3 linked regions of the Caenorhabditis elegans genome follow. The protein of the gene in region 3 purifies or fractionates together with the protein of the main gene of each other region. This does not show direct contact. Each region holds a gene or a part of one and is shown on either strand. Other genes may lie near its edges.

The links.
Region 1: the proteins of pfn-3 (region 3) and frl-1 fractionate together in Caenorhabditis elegans (co-fractionation; one large-scale study listed by BioGRID). This does not show direct contact.
Region 2: the proteins of pfn-3 (region 3) and snx-3 fractionate together in Caenorhabditis elegans (co-fractionation; one large-scale study listed by BioGRID). This does not show direct contact.

The regions. Positions count from the first base shown.
Region 1 is NC_003281.10:2,122,438-2,127,166, forward strand, and holds the start of frl-1 (GBD/FH3 domain-containing protein), read left to right. Parts: upstream 1-1,699; 5' UTR 1,700-1,704; coding exon 1,705-1,792; intron 1,793-4,729.
Region 2 is NC_003279.8:9,062,748-9,066,020, reverse strand, and holds snx-3 (Sorting nexin-3), read left to right. Parts: upstream 1-1,617; 5' UTR 1,618-1,622; coding exon 1,623-1,718; intron 1,719-1,760; coding exon 1,761-1,826; intron 1,827-1,872; coding exon 1,873-2,093; intron 2,094-2,181; coding exon 2,182-2,287; 3' UTR 2,288-2,743; downstream 2,744-3,273. Other genes in the region: rad-54.L (DNA repair and recombination protein RAD54-like), read right to left, coding at 21-264, 338-416, 831-934; prmt-7 (Protein arginine N-methyltransferase 7), read left to right, coding at 2,874-2,962, 3,054-3,178, 3,231-3,273.
Region 3 is NC_003284.9:1,078,872-1,082,497, reverse strand, and holds pfn-3 (Profilin-3), read left to right. Parts: upstream 1-1,848; 5' UTR 1,849-1,872; coding exon 1,873-1,983; intron 1,984-2,584; coding exon 2,585-2,632; intron 2,633-2,678; coding exon 2,679-2,802; intron 2,803-2,854; coding exon 2,855-2,952; 3' UTR 2,953-3,068; downstream 3,069-3,626. Other genes in the region: LIM/homeobox protein lim-6, read right to left, coding at 3,159-3,268. UniProt on the Caenorhabditis elegans protein: Binds to actin and affects the structure of the cytoskeleton. At high concentrations, profilin prevents the polymerization of actin, whereas it enhances it at low concentrations. By binding to PIP2, it inhibits the formation of IP3 and DG.

The DNA.
Region 1 (4,729 bases), on a different chromosome or scaffold from region 3:
AGTCTCGTAACTTTGAAAAAGTGACCAACTATTATAGAAAATTCAATTTTATACTCCTTAAACAATGAAAATACATACTTTTCCAATACTTTATCAATTATTTGTAAGTATGTTCCCTAAATTTTATATTTAGCAGGAAATTATTGGTTTTTGGGTTTGATACTCACCGCGGGCCAAACTTTTTATTTTGTTTGTTTTAAAGTTTATATATTTTGTAGACTTATTTTTTAAAATTATTGTGTTGGTTTTCCAAGAAAAAGTGTATTTTCTAGGTTAAAAACTCATTTTCTCAACTTTTCATGCTTATTTTCAAATTTTCCATGCAATTTTACATTGGAAACCATTTTTTTTTGAAATTTTTGAAATGTACACTTTTGGCTCAGCCGGTAACAGAGATGACTGGTGAGAAACAGGTCCGGGGTTCGATCCCCGCTGAGGTCAATAATTTTTGTTGTACTTTTTTTGTAGTTTTTAGGCAGTTAAATATCAAAAGGGGGTTTTTTTTTCTTTTTTTTTTGAAAAGAAGAAGAAAACACACTTTCGTACTAGTCATGACAATTTCTAGACGTTTTGAACAAAATTTTCATGATCTACGAGCAATTTTACACCGAAACCGGGGGATTTTTATTCGAAATGTTGAAATGTACACTTTTAGAGCAACAGGTAACAGGGATGGCTGATAAGAAATAGGTCGGGGGTTCGATCCCCGCAGTGGTCAATAATTTGGTGACTTGACAAGTTTCAAGTATTTTTATGTAATGTGGAGTAGTTTTTCAAGTAGTTTTGCGCACAACTTTGAAACTTTTTGACGAATTTTTAGGAAAAGTGAATTTTCGTGGCTAAATACTTTTCTTGTCTGATTTTTATATTTATTTTCAAATTTTCCATGCAATTTTACATTGGAAACCATTTTTTTTTTTGAAATTTTGAAATGTACACTTTTGGCTCAGCCGGTAACAGAGATGACTGGTGAGAAACAGGTCCGGGGTTCGATCCCCGCTGAGGTCAATAATTTTTGTTGTACTTGTTTTGTAGTTTTTAGGCAGTTAAATATCAAAGGAGAGGGGTTTTTTTTCGAATTTCGTTACGAACCTTTGCAGTTTTAATTTTCACGTAAAATTTTTGAATAACTTTTCAAATTTTTACTTTTGTCGTGGGGTTACTGTAGTTCCAAAAGTACGCGAACACCGAATAGACTAGAATTTGCTTGGAATCAAGATTTATGAGTAAAAAATTATAAAAAACTTTTAAAAAATACGCACCTTTTCAATTTGTTGAGCCAAAATTAGTTTTTTATTTTCATTTTTCAGAATTATCCCAATAATTTTTAGCACAATTTCTTGTGTTATTATCATTTTTCTTATCAACATTTCCCCTTATTTATTCACCTTTTGTGCCAACCGACCTCTGACTGTCATGTTTCTCTACATCTCTGCCGCTCTCTCCGTTCAAATGAACAGATTAAAACCACTCTTTTTCGGGAATTTTTTTTAGAAATGTTTGTACAGAATTTTCTCGGTACTCTCTACAAGTTGTTCACTATTCTCACAGTTTTTGAATCTTTTTTTAATGAAAAAAAAAGTCTGAAAATTTTGCTCCGATGCACCATGTTTGCTTTTTGAGAAGCAAATGTTTCAAACCACCGGGTTTTCGTTTTTTAAAAAGATTTTTTGATGAAAAATTGAGGTTTTTTTTTTAGAAAATATGAAATCTAGAGAAAATTCTACATCGGAATCGCTTTCGGAAACTTCTGAAATTCGCCGGAAAGCTGTCAGTGAGGATTTGCAAAACGGTGAGTTTTTTTTTTCATGAAATCATAATTTTTAATATTTTCTAGCAAATGACAAATTGGACTTAATTGAAAAAAAAATCAACAAAAAATTCGCCCCAAAATCTTGAAAACTGACAAATTCACGAGATTTCTTGCTAAAAAGCAAAGGTTTTTTACGAGATTTCAGTAAATTTATGAATTTTTGCGTGGAAAACGTGATTTTCGTTAATTTTTTATAGTAATTTTCGAGTTTTTCACGTAATTTTACGGTAGAATCCGTTTTTTTTGCCAAAATGTTTAAAATTCACTTTTGGCGCAACTGGTAACAGGGATGGCTGGTGCGAAATAGGTCGGGGGTTCGATCCCCGCGGCGGTCAATAATTTTTGGTTAGTTGATCTGGCAATTTCCAGTATTTTTCAGTAATTTACAGTAGTTTTCTAAATGATTTCGAGCGAAAAGTTCAACTTTTGAGAGTTTTTAACGAATTTTCGAGGTTAAAAACTCATTTTATCAACTTTTCAAGTTTATTTTCGAGTTTTCCACGTAATTTTACAGTAGAATCCGTTTTTTTTTCTAAATTTTAAAAATGCACTTTTGGCGCAACTGGTAACATGAATGACTGATAGGAAATAGGTCAGGGGTTCGATCCCTGCTGTGGTCAATAATTTTTGTTTTGTTAGTTGTTTTTTTTTCTTCATGTTATAATAAGTTTTCGATAGTTTTTCTTGGTTTTCCCCCAGTTTCCACGTCAATTTCTCCACACCTAATTCAACAAATCTCATAAAATGTAACACTGTGGTTTTCGTATCCCCCATTTCCTTTTTCCATGAAACAATAAAACGCATGAAATTAAATATGCCCATTGCAAAGATTTGAACAAGGGAAATGGGAGAGGAGATGGAGAAGACGAAGAAAACACACTTTCGTACTAGTCATGGCAATTTCTAGACGTTTTGAACAAAATTTTCTTGATCTACGAGCAATTTTACACCGAAACCGGAGGATTTTTTTTCGAAATTTTGAAATGTACACTTTTAGAGCAACAGGTAACAGGGATGGCTGATAAGAAATAGGTCGGGGGTTCGATCCCTGCTGTGGTCACTAAATTTTGTTTTGGTGACTTGACAATTTTCAAGTATTTTTATGCAATGTGGAATAGTTTTTCAAGTAGCGCTGAGCTGAAAATGCAACTTTTGAAACTTTTTGGCGAATTTTCGAGGCTAAATACTTATTTTTGCTGATTTGTGTATTGATTTTCAAGTTTTCCACGTAATTTTACAGTAGAATCCGTTTTTTTCAAAATTTTAAAAATGCACTTTTGGCGCAACTGGTAACATGAATGACTGATAGGAAATAGGTCAGGGGTTCGATCCCTGCTGTGGTCAATAATTTTTGCCTTGTCGATTTGTCAATTTCCAGTGTTTTTCAGTTATTTACAGTAGTTTTATAAATGATTTCGAGCGAAAAGTTCAACTTTTGAGACTTTTTAACGAATTTTTGAATGAAAAGTGAATTTTCGAGGTTAAAAACTCATTTGCACAAATTTTTATGTTAATTTTCAAGTTTTCCATGCAATTTCACACTGGGAACCTTTTTTTTCGAAATTTTGAAATTTACACTTTTGGCTCAGCCGGTAACAGAGATGGCTGGTGAGAAATGGGTCGGGGGTTCGATCCCCGCTGTGGTCAATAATTTTTGTGTTGCTTTTTTTGTAGTTTTTAAGCAGTTAAGGGTTTTTGAATATACTTTTTCATGAGAAAATTACAAAAATCCCAAAAATTTCACAGATTTTCTCAGTAATTTCTAAAAGTATTGTCTCAATTTTCTATACAACTAATCTGCCTGGGAAATCTAAGGTCATCTGTGTCTCTCACACATTGTTGCGTAATTCTTAATACGCAATACCAGTAGCGGTCATTTCGGTTGGCTGCTGCCGGCGGAGGGAGAGAGAGGGAGACAGTAGACATTTACAAGTAAGTGAGAGAGTATGAGGAATTGAGAGATTTAGAGATAAGAAGGAGGAAACACTGTCATTTACCCATCTCACCACAAGATTGACCCTCCACGCGCAGCAGATGAGGTGAGGTGACTTACGAATTTTTTTGTTGTTGGATTTTTCTCCTTTTAGTTCAGATTTTCGAGTTTTTAATGATTTTACAAGAATTTTCAAGAGATTTCATACAGATTTTTGAATTTTTCATGCAATTTTACATAGGAACCCACTTTTTTTTTTTTGAAATTTTATGATAAAATTCCAATTTTGGCTCACTGGTAACAGGGATGGCTGGTGGAAAATTGGGAAATTTGGTCGGGGGTTCGACCCCCACTGTGGTCAATAATTTTTGTTTCAATGACTTGTCAATTTTCATGTATTTTTATGTAAGGTGGAGTAGTTTTTCAAGTAATTTTGAGCTCAAAATACAACTTTTGAAACTTTTTGACGGATTTTTTTTTCGGAAAAGTGAATTTTCAAGGCTAGATACTTATTTTTGCTGATTTTTGTATTGATTTTCAAGTTTTCCATGCAATTTCACATTGGAAACCATTTTTTGGAATTTTAAAATTACATTTTTGGCTCAGCCGGTAACAGAGATTACTGGTGAGAAATAGGTCCGGGGTTCGATCCCCGCTGAGGTCAATTATTTTTTCAATACTTTTTAAGGACAGTTTTTACTAGATTTTTATTAGACGTGGTTTTTTTTGCTGAAAAGTTTCAAAATTTGCGACTTTTTGGGTTATTTCCAGGAAAAATGAATTTTCGAACCAAAAAACCAAATTTTGCAAGATTTTACGTAAAATTTTGAGTTTCCCATGCAATTTTACTTCTGAAACAGCTTTTTTTTCGAAATTTCAAAAGTGCACTTTTGGCTCAACTGGTAAGAGAGATGACTGATAGAAAATAAGTCAAGGGTTCAATCCCCGCCGCGGCCAATATTTTTTGTTATTTATGTTATGTT
Region 2 (3,273 bases), on a different chromosome or scaffold from region 3:
ATTTTTACATGTTTTCTTACACATATATCCCTCCATCGGAATTGAAAACTTTCTCGACAACAACTTCGCAATCATAGCATCGTGATCTGATGATTCGGAAGCCATACGTCTAGAGAATACATCGATATTCACAAAACGTAATGGACTTGCTTCTTCTACAGATACAGGTGGTTCTATGGCAGGCAGTGCCTTCTTTCGTCGTCGAAGACCTTGTTTTGAAGGAGAAACTGACGTAGAAAAAGGGGAAATGAAGGTTTTGTGTATCTGAAAAACATTAAAAATTACAATTACAATTAAGTTCCGAATTGTATTTCATTGCAACTAAAAATATTAATACATTTTTCGGTTCCTCCGTTCGTCCTGAATATCCTAGACTTTTCCGTTTTTGTGTTGGAGCAGTAGAGCTTGTGGAAGGTCTGAAAATAATATACCGCATTTCCTCTATTAGTCTTGCATGCAAGACTAATTTTCAATAGACCCGTAGGGGTGCAAGACTAATAGGGACTGCAAGACTATTAGAGGCTACAAGACTAATTTTCGAAGATCCAATAGCTTTGTTAAATTGGCCATTTATCGTCAAAATTTTGACTTGAAACAGTCTAAATCATGCAAAATACATGCTTTTCTATTGTTTTATCAATTACTTGAACAGTTTAAAATTTAATTTAGCTAAAAAATGGCGAAAATTTTGAAGTTTTGACAAAATACTGCTGGCCTGGCAAGAATAGGGGTGCATGACTATTACCGTATTTCCTCTATTAGTCTTGCATGCAAGACTAATAGAGGGAATACGGTATGTGTTAAAATTTGAATTTTTTATAAAAGCTCACAAATTTTCCGGTGTAACTTCTCGTTTCCTTTTTGGCAGTTCAACTGGGATATTAACATCTTTTCCATGACTATCTTCTAAATTTTCGAACGTTTTTTTTGGCATTCCTGAAAACTAAGAAAATCTTTAATTTCGCAGAACAACTGAATAAACAAGTAGAATTTACAGAAATTCAACAAAATTTTTAAAATGCTCTTTTTATTCAAAAAGAACGGCGCCGCGCCATCTTGAACGAAAACAAAGTTTCGAAGAAGACGAAACACGGACACAGGGCGGTGTCAGCTATTAATTTTCAATTTAACAATTATTTTACAACATAGATTTGTTGTGAAACATTTTTTTGCTTTTGAATCAATTATAATCTTTTTAAAATTTTGAGTCATAGCGAGTCACTGCTTTTTCATTCCATGAATCTGCGGTGTCTGCTTTTGAAATTTCAGTTTGAGGTACGGTTGAATTTTTTGTGTGCATTAACACAAAAGTGTTTGCGTACTTTTGCCACTTTTTTCATTTCTTGATTCGTTTTGTTTATCGGCGCGCGATGAGTCATTTTTGCCGTAATTTCCTTGAAATTCCAGTTTTATTTATTGATTTTTCACAGCTTCATATTATTTTTTCCATTTTAGTTTGCCGAACAGCGAAACAAAAAGCAAACGATGTTCTCGCATGTTGTCGATTAAAGCTTTGGATTCCAACATAAATTTCACTTTTATTTTGTTTATATTGTGAAAATCGATACTTAAATAAACAATTCAAAGCAACTTTGATATAATTTAGAATATTTGCAGTGCAAATGGCATCCGGCGCGTCGGCAACTCAGCGGATCCCTTCAAAACGGCAAACGCTGGACGAGGCATATGCCCCGCCGGCCAACTTCCTTGAAATTGAGGTTTGAATAAAAATCAATGAATTAGATCAAGATAACTTGCAGGTTATCAATCCTATCACTCATGGTGTTGGAAAAATGCGCTACACGGATTACGAAATCAGAATGAGAGTAAGTATAGATTAACACTGACCGCATAATAAAATCGTTGTTTCAGTCGAATCTCCCCGTTTTCAAGCAGAAAGAATCAAGCGTGCGTCGCCGATACAGTGATTTCGAATGGGTTCGTGCTGAACTAGAGCGAGATAGCAAGATTGTGGTTCCAACGTTGCCAGGAAAATCATTCAAACGGCAACTGCCATTCCGATCCGATGATGGAATTTTTGAAGAGGAATTCATTGAAAATAGGCGCAAAGCTCTCGAGTTATTCATCAATAAGTACGTAAAACTGTTCAACTATACGGACATCAAAATGAACTCAGAAAATTTTCACATTTCTAAAAGTTTTAATAATATGTTCTTGCAGGGTTGCTGGACATCCACTTGCTCAAAACGAACGCTCTCTCCATATTTTCCTCCAGGAGCCAACTATTGACAAAAACTACGTGCCTGGCAAAATTCGTACCGCTTAAATTTTAAAATGTTTCTAAATTCTCCGCTCACGAGAAAAATCTCAAAATACCCAGAGTTATAGTTTTAACGCTGTCTGTTTCAATAAACAGAAGGAAACTTTTAAAAAATGATAATGTTTTCTTATCATATTTTTACATAACAAAAAATGAGTAACGCTTTCTGATCTTTTGAGATATTTAGTTTTCAAAAAGTGAGTTTTTAGAAGCTTTTTTCCAATTTAATCTCGGCCCATCAAAATATTGTTTCCATCCCTCCACCAAAATGCGGTATTTTTCGAAATTGTGTACTTTGTCCCCATCACCACTTCTTTCCCATTGATTTCCATTTTCTGGCTCCTGTTTATTTCATATTTATTTTTACATTTTTGTGTATAGTTTCCCAATTTCCCAATTGATTGCACTATTTTTATTGCATGAACCCCTTTTATTTGAACAAATATGAAAAATAAGTCTTCCGTTCCTTGATTTCGTTTCTTTGGATTTTAAAGTGGTAAATTGGCAGTTGTGTGCATATCGCAAATATCTTGAGTGTATCATTAAAACGAGCATATCTTTAAGATAGACAATTTGCAGGGTTTTCTGAAAAATGTTCCTTGAGAAGATAAATCAAAAAACCGGCGAACGAGAATGGGTTGTGGCTGAAGAGGATTATGATATGGCTCAGGAACTTGCCAGGTTTTCAACTTTAAAAAAATATTCCGCATAGAAATAAAATTTAATAAACAATACTTCTCGCATTTTCTTGCTTTAAAACGTTAATTTTCAGAAGTCGATTTGGAGATATGATTCTGGATTTTGATAGAAATGACAAGTTCCTCGCAGGATTAAAAACTACGATTGCTGAGAAAAAACATGAAAATACAGATGGGAAAGTTCATGTTTTAGATATTGGTTAGCTGTTAAGTTTTCAACTTATTCGGTTTTTAAAGTTTACTATTTACAGGTACTGGAACTGGACTTCTTTCACTAATGGCTGCTCGAGAAGG
Region 3 (3,626 bases):
TTTTGGCACATGAACTTTGAAAACGAAATATTATTATTTCATCAAATTTTATCTAGATTCAATTTTTAGGCTGACGTTTCCTGTTGAGTGGACGCCAAAATGAGCCGTCCTAAAAAGCATCCTTATGTTTCAGCGTGCAAGCCGCAAATCAAAAATTCGACATTGATCTCATTAGACACTTTCCTTGCAAATCAATCAATAGTTTTTGAAATTTCGATGGCCGTCGGTGAGCGGGGCTATCCGTTTCCCTTTCTCTCTCTTGAATGTTTTCGTCGCGTCAGTGGAACCTGCAGATAAAGCAAATGAGAGAAAAAGACATAGAGCAAACGACAGCTTTACACTATGATTGTCGAGTTCTGCCCCGGGGATAGGCTCTCCTCTGCCACAGCGACTCCTCTCCCGCCCTTCATCTATCTGCGGTACTTCATTCCCCCGTACACTGTTCCAATCGGCGCGCGCTCTCTTCAGGATCAACACACTGTTCTCACACACACACACACGGGAGGCAAGGAGACAAACTGGTGTCTTACGGCTATTGAGCGGCAATTCAGTCTTAGTCTCACATTTTATGTCCAACAGAGGCTCAGCGAGCAACGAACCCCACGCAAATATCTTCCGATCTCTTTGCGTCCCGGTTTTGAAACGAACGTTTATTGAAACTTTTTGAAAGTTAGATTTCTCACTTTTTGTTAATTTTTTCGAATTGTTTTTATTTATGACGTCTTCCCCATATTGCCGTATTTTCTGAAAATATCAAAAAGTGGTAAATTGCAAAACTGACCAAAAATGAAAATTTTGTTAAGAAATAATTTACCTGCTGTGGCTCTAAAGTCTTTTATATATGTTTTTTTCGAATACTACATTTAATGTAACAAAACTGGTGTGCGTGTACGTGAAAATCTTGAAATTTAGTAGGCATCCACTTTGAGGATAATTTTCTGAGGAAATGCCAAAAATCAGCACCCCAAATGATATCATGGCCGGACATCTACCGGGATTCGGTCTTGCAATAAGCTAACTCACTACTGATGGAAGCACAATGCGGAGCGTAACCCGGTAGATGTCGAGTCATGATAACACTTCTGGTCCCGGTTTTTACAGTATTCCTAAAAGTAACTATCCAATTGTGGGTATTTCAAATTTAAGGATAAAAATACTGGGCCTATTCTTTCTATCTTTTTTTGAATCTCAGACAGGTTTTAGATTTGAGACCTTTCTAGTTAACCTCAATAATTAAATTCTCCAGTACTGGTAACAAGAAATCTCAAGGTTTTTTATTTGCTCTGTAATTCTTGGCTCAAACTCAAACTTTCACTGATTTCAATATTGATGTTAAGCACCTGGTCGTATTAATTTAATGTTGCTATAATGCTTTGTAAAAGTTGAGAAATTTGAAGGTGGCACAAATTTGTAGAAAATTTTACGTCATTTTCTAAAACAAAACTGCTATAAAAATAACTGCCGCTTTCCATCTAAAAGTATCCGCTGAAAATTCTAATAATATTTTATAGACATCGAATTACCTAACAACGAATTATAAAAAAAATTTTGTTGTAAAACCAAGTTTTAGCTTCTATAAAACCAAGTTTTAGCTTCTCCTAAGCAGGTAGTTAGACCTGATTTCATAATCGTTTACCAGACATGCGATCAGATATCTAATCAACATGTGTTCATTACTCATCTCTCCAAACTGCTATTTCAAAATAATTTCTTCATGATTTTTTGGAAAACGTCAGAAACCAAGCGTCATCTGTTTCCATATCTCTCTCTCTTTCTCCCACGCACTGCACAATTGTGCCCCGTTTTCCACGTTTTGAGCTTCTAGACTTTCACTTTTACTTTCAAAGTTTTCAGCACACACAAAACGAAAACATGTCGTGGTCTGATATTATCAACAATAACCTTATCGGGTCTGGAAATGTGAGCAAGGCTGCCATTCTTGGATTCGACGGAGCTGTATGGGCAAAGAGTGATAACTTTAATGTAAGTTTTCAAAGTTTTTAAAATTGTCAAGTTGCCAAAATCTCGACTTTCAGTGGCATGATCAGCTTGTGATTGGTGTTAGAACTTTTTTGAGATATTAAAACTGGAAAGGACTTGCAATTTTCTTAGGCTAGAATTCTAGGTATTTCTCTAGGAATGCAACTCCTGGTCGATACACCACCTCTCTTTGAATCTCATCTCTGATCTAAAAACACTGTAAACTTCTATCAAAATCTATATTTTGTCTGCACCAGTTTTGAAAGATTAGTACATGGTGCATTGACAGATAATGAACAAATACCGCCTGCGTGAGTTTTGTTACTGAAAGCATATTTAGCTTGTTATAAAAATAGTCTTCATGTAGGAAAGGTGTGTTGGTGTACTGTAGAAGTACTTTAGTGTTACTATTGTTCAAAAATACGTTTTATCTATTGAAGGAATCGTCGGTGAAGATGGTGTAGGAATATTGTAGTGTAGGATTATTTTAGTCCTAAAAATAAGGTTTCGTTATTTTTTGGAAAACATAAGTTGAGGCTAGAGTCGGGGCACTGAGCACTGTAGTAGATCAAGCAGTACAATTTGAATAGTAACGTATTTCCAGATCTCCGTCGAAGAAGCCGTCGCCGCAGGAAAAGCCTTCACCTCCTTGGTACCTTTTGCTTCTCTTAATATCATTCTCACCCTCTAATTTTCAGGATGCTCTTCTTGGAACCGGCCTCCGCTTGGAAGGACAAAAATTCTTGGTCCTCAACGCAGATAATGACAGAATAATTGGAAAGCAAGGAGGATCTGGATTTTTCATCTACAAAACTATCCAAGGTGAACTAACTAGGATTACTAGACTGATTTAAACAATCTCTGAAACTTTTAGCCGTTATTATTTCCATCTACGAGAAAGGACTCCAACCAGAAATGTGCAGCAAGACCACCGGAGCCCTGGCCGATTACTTCAGGTCCATCAAGTACTGATCACAATTCCCGAAGCCTCCTGCCGATTTGCCATCCATGTTTGCATTTTTTTTTTTGTATTTTTTCATTTCGTTTCTTTTTTATATAAATAAATAATGAAATAAATATTTATCTTTCTCAAAATTCAAAAAAATAGCAACTCGAAATAAATAATATGAGGTGAAAAGCAAAATAAAGCGGGTGGTTTGATTTCCGAACAAAAAAAGTCAAGAGTGATATGGAAAATAAATTTGGGAAGATGTCATATTATACAGTTTTTGAATTGGGTCCGTGTAGCTTGAAGTTTCCGAAGTCTCCACCTCGTCAGCGTCCAGGTCTGAATTTTTTTTTTGATAAGAACAATTGTTTGAATTCTAGAAGTCTATAGTTTTAGCCCTTTTGGTTCAGCTATCCGGGACTGACCAACTGAACAATTATGTAAAAGTATAGTGAAGCTTAGGCCGATCTTGCTGCAAATTTCGAGTTGGGCCTGCATCGCCCGACACCTCACCGGTTATACAAATCTATAGGAATTCACCTGGCATGGTTAGCCGACACAAGCACGGACCGTATCGGCTAGCCGTACCATGTGTACTACGCGTGAAGCCTTCTTGAATTTGATTGTTTTAAGGTTCGCAATTTTGCCGGGCTCGGGAACCCTCATATTCCCAAAACGTGGATCAATCTATTTTACA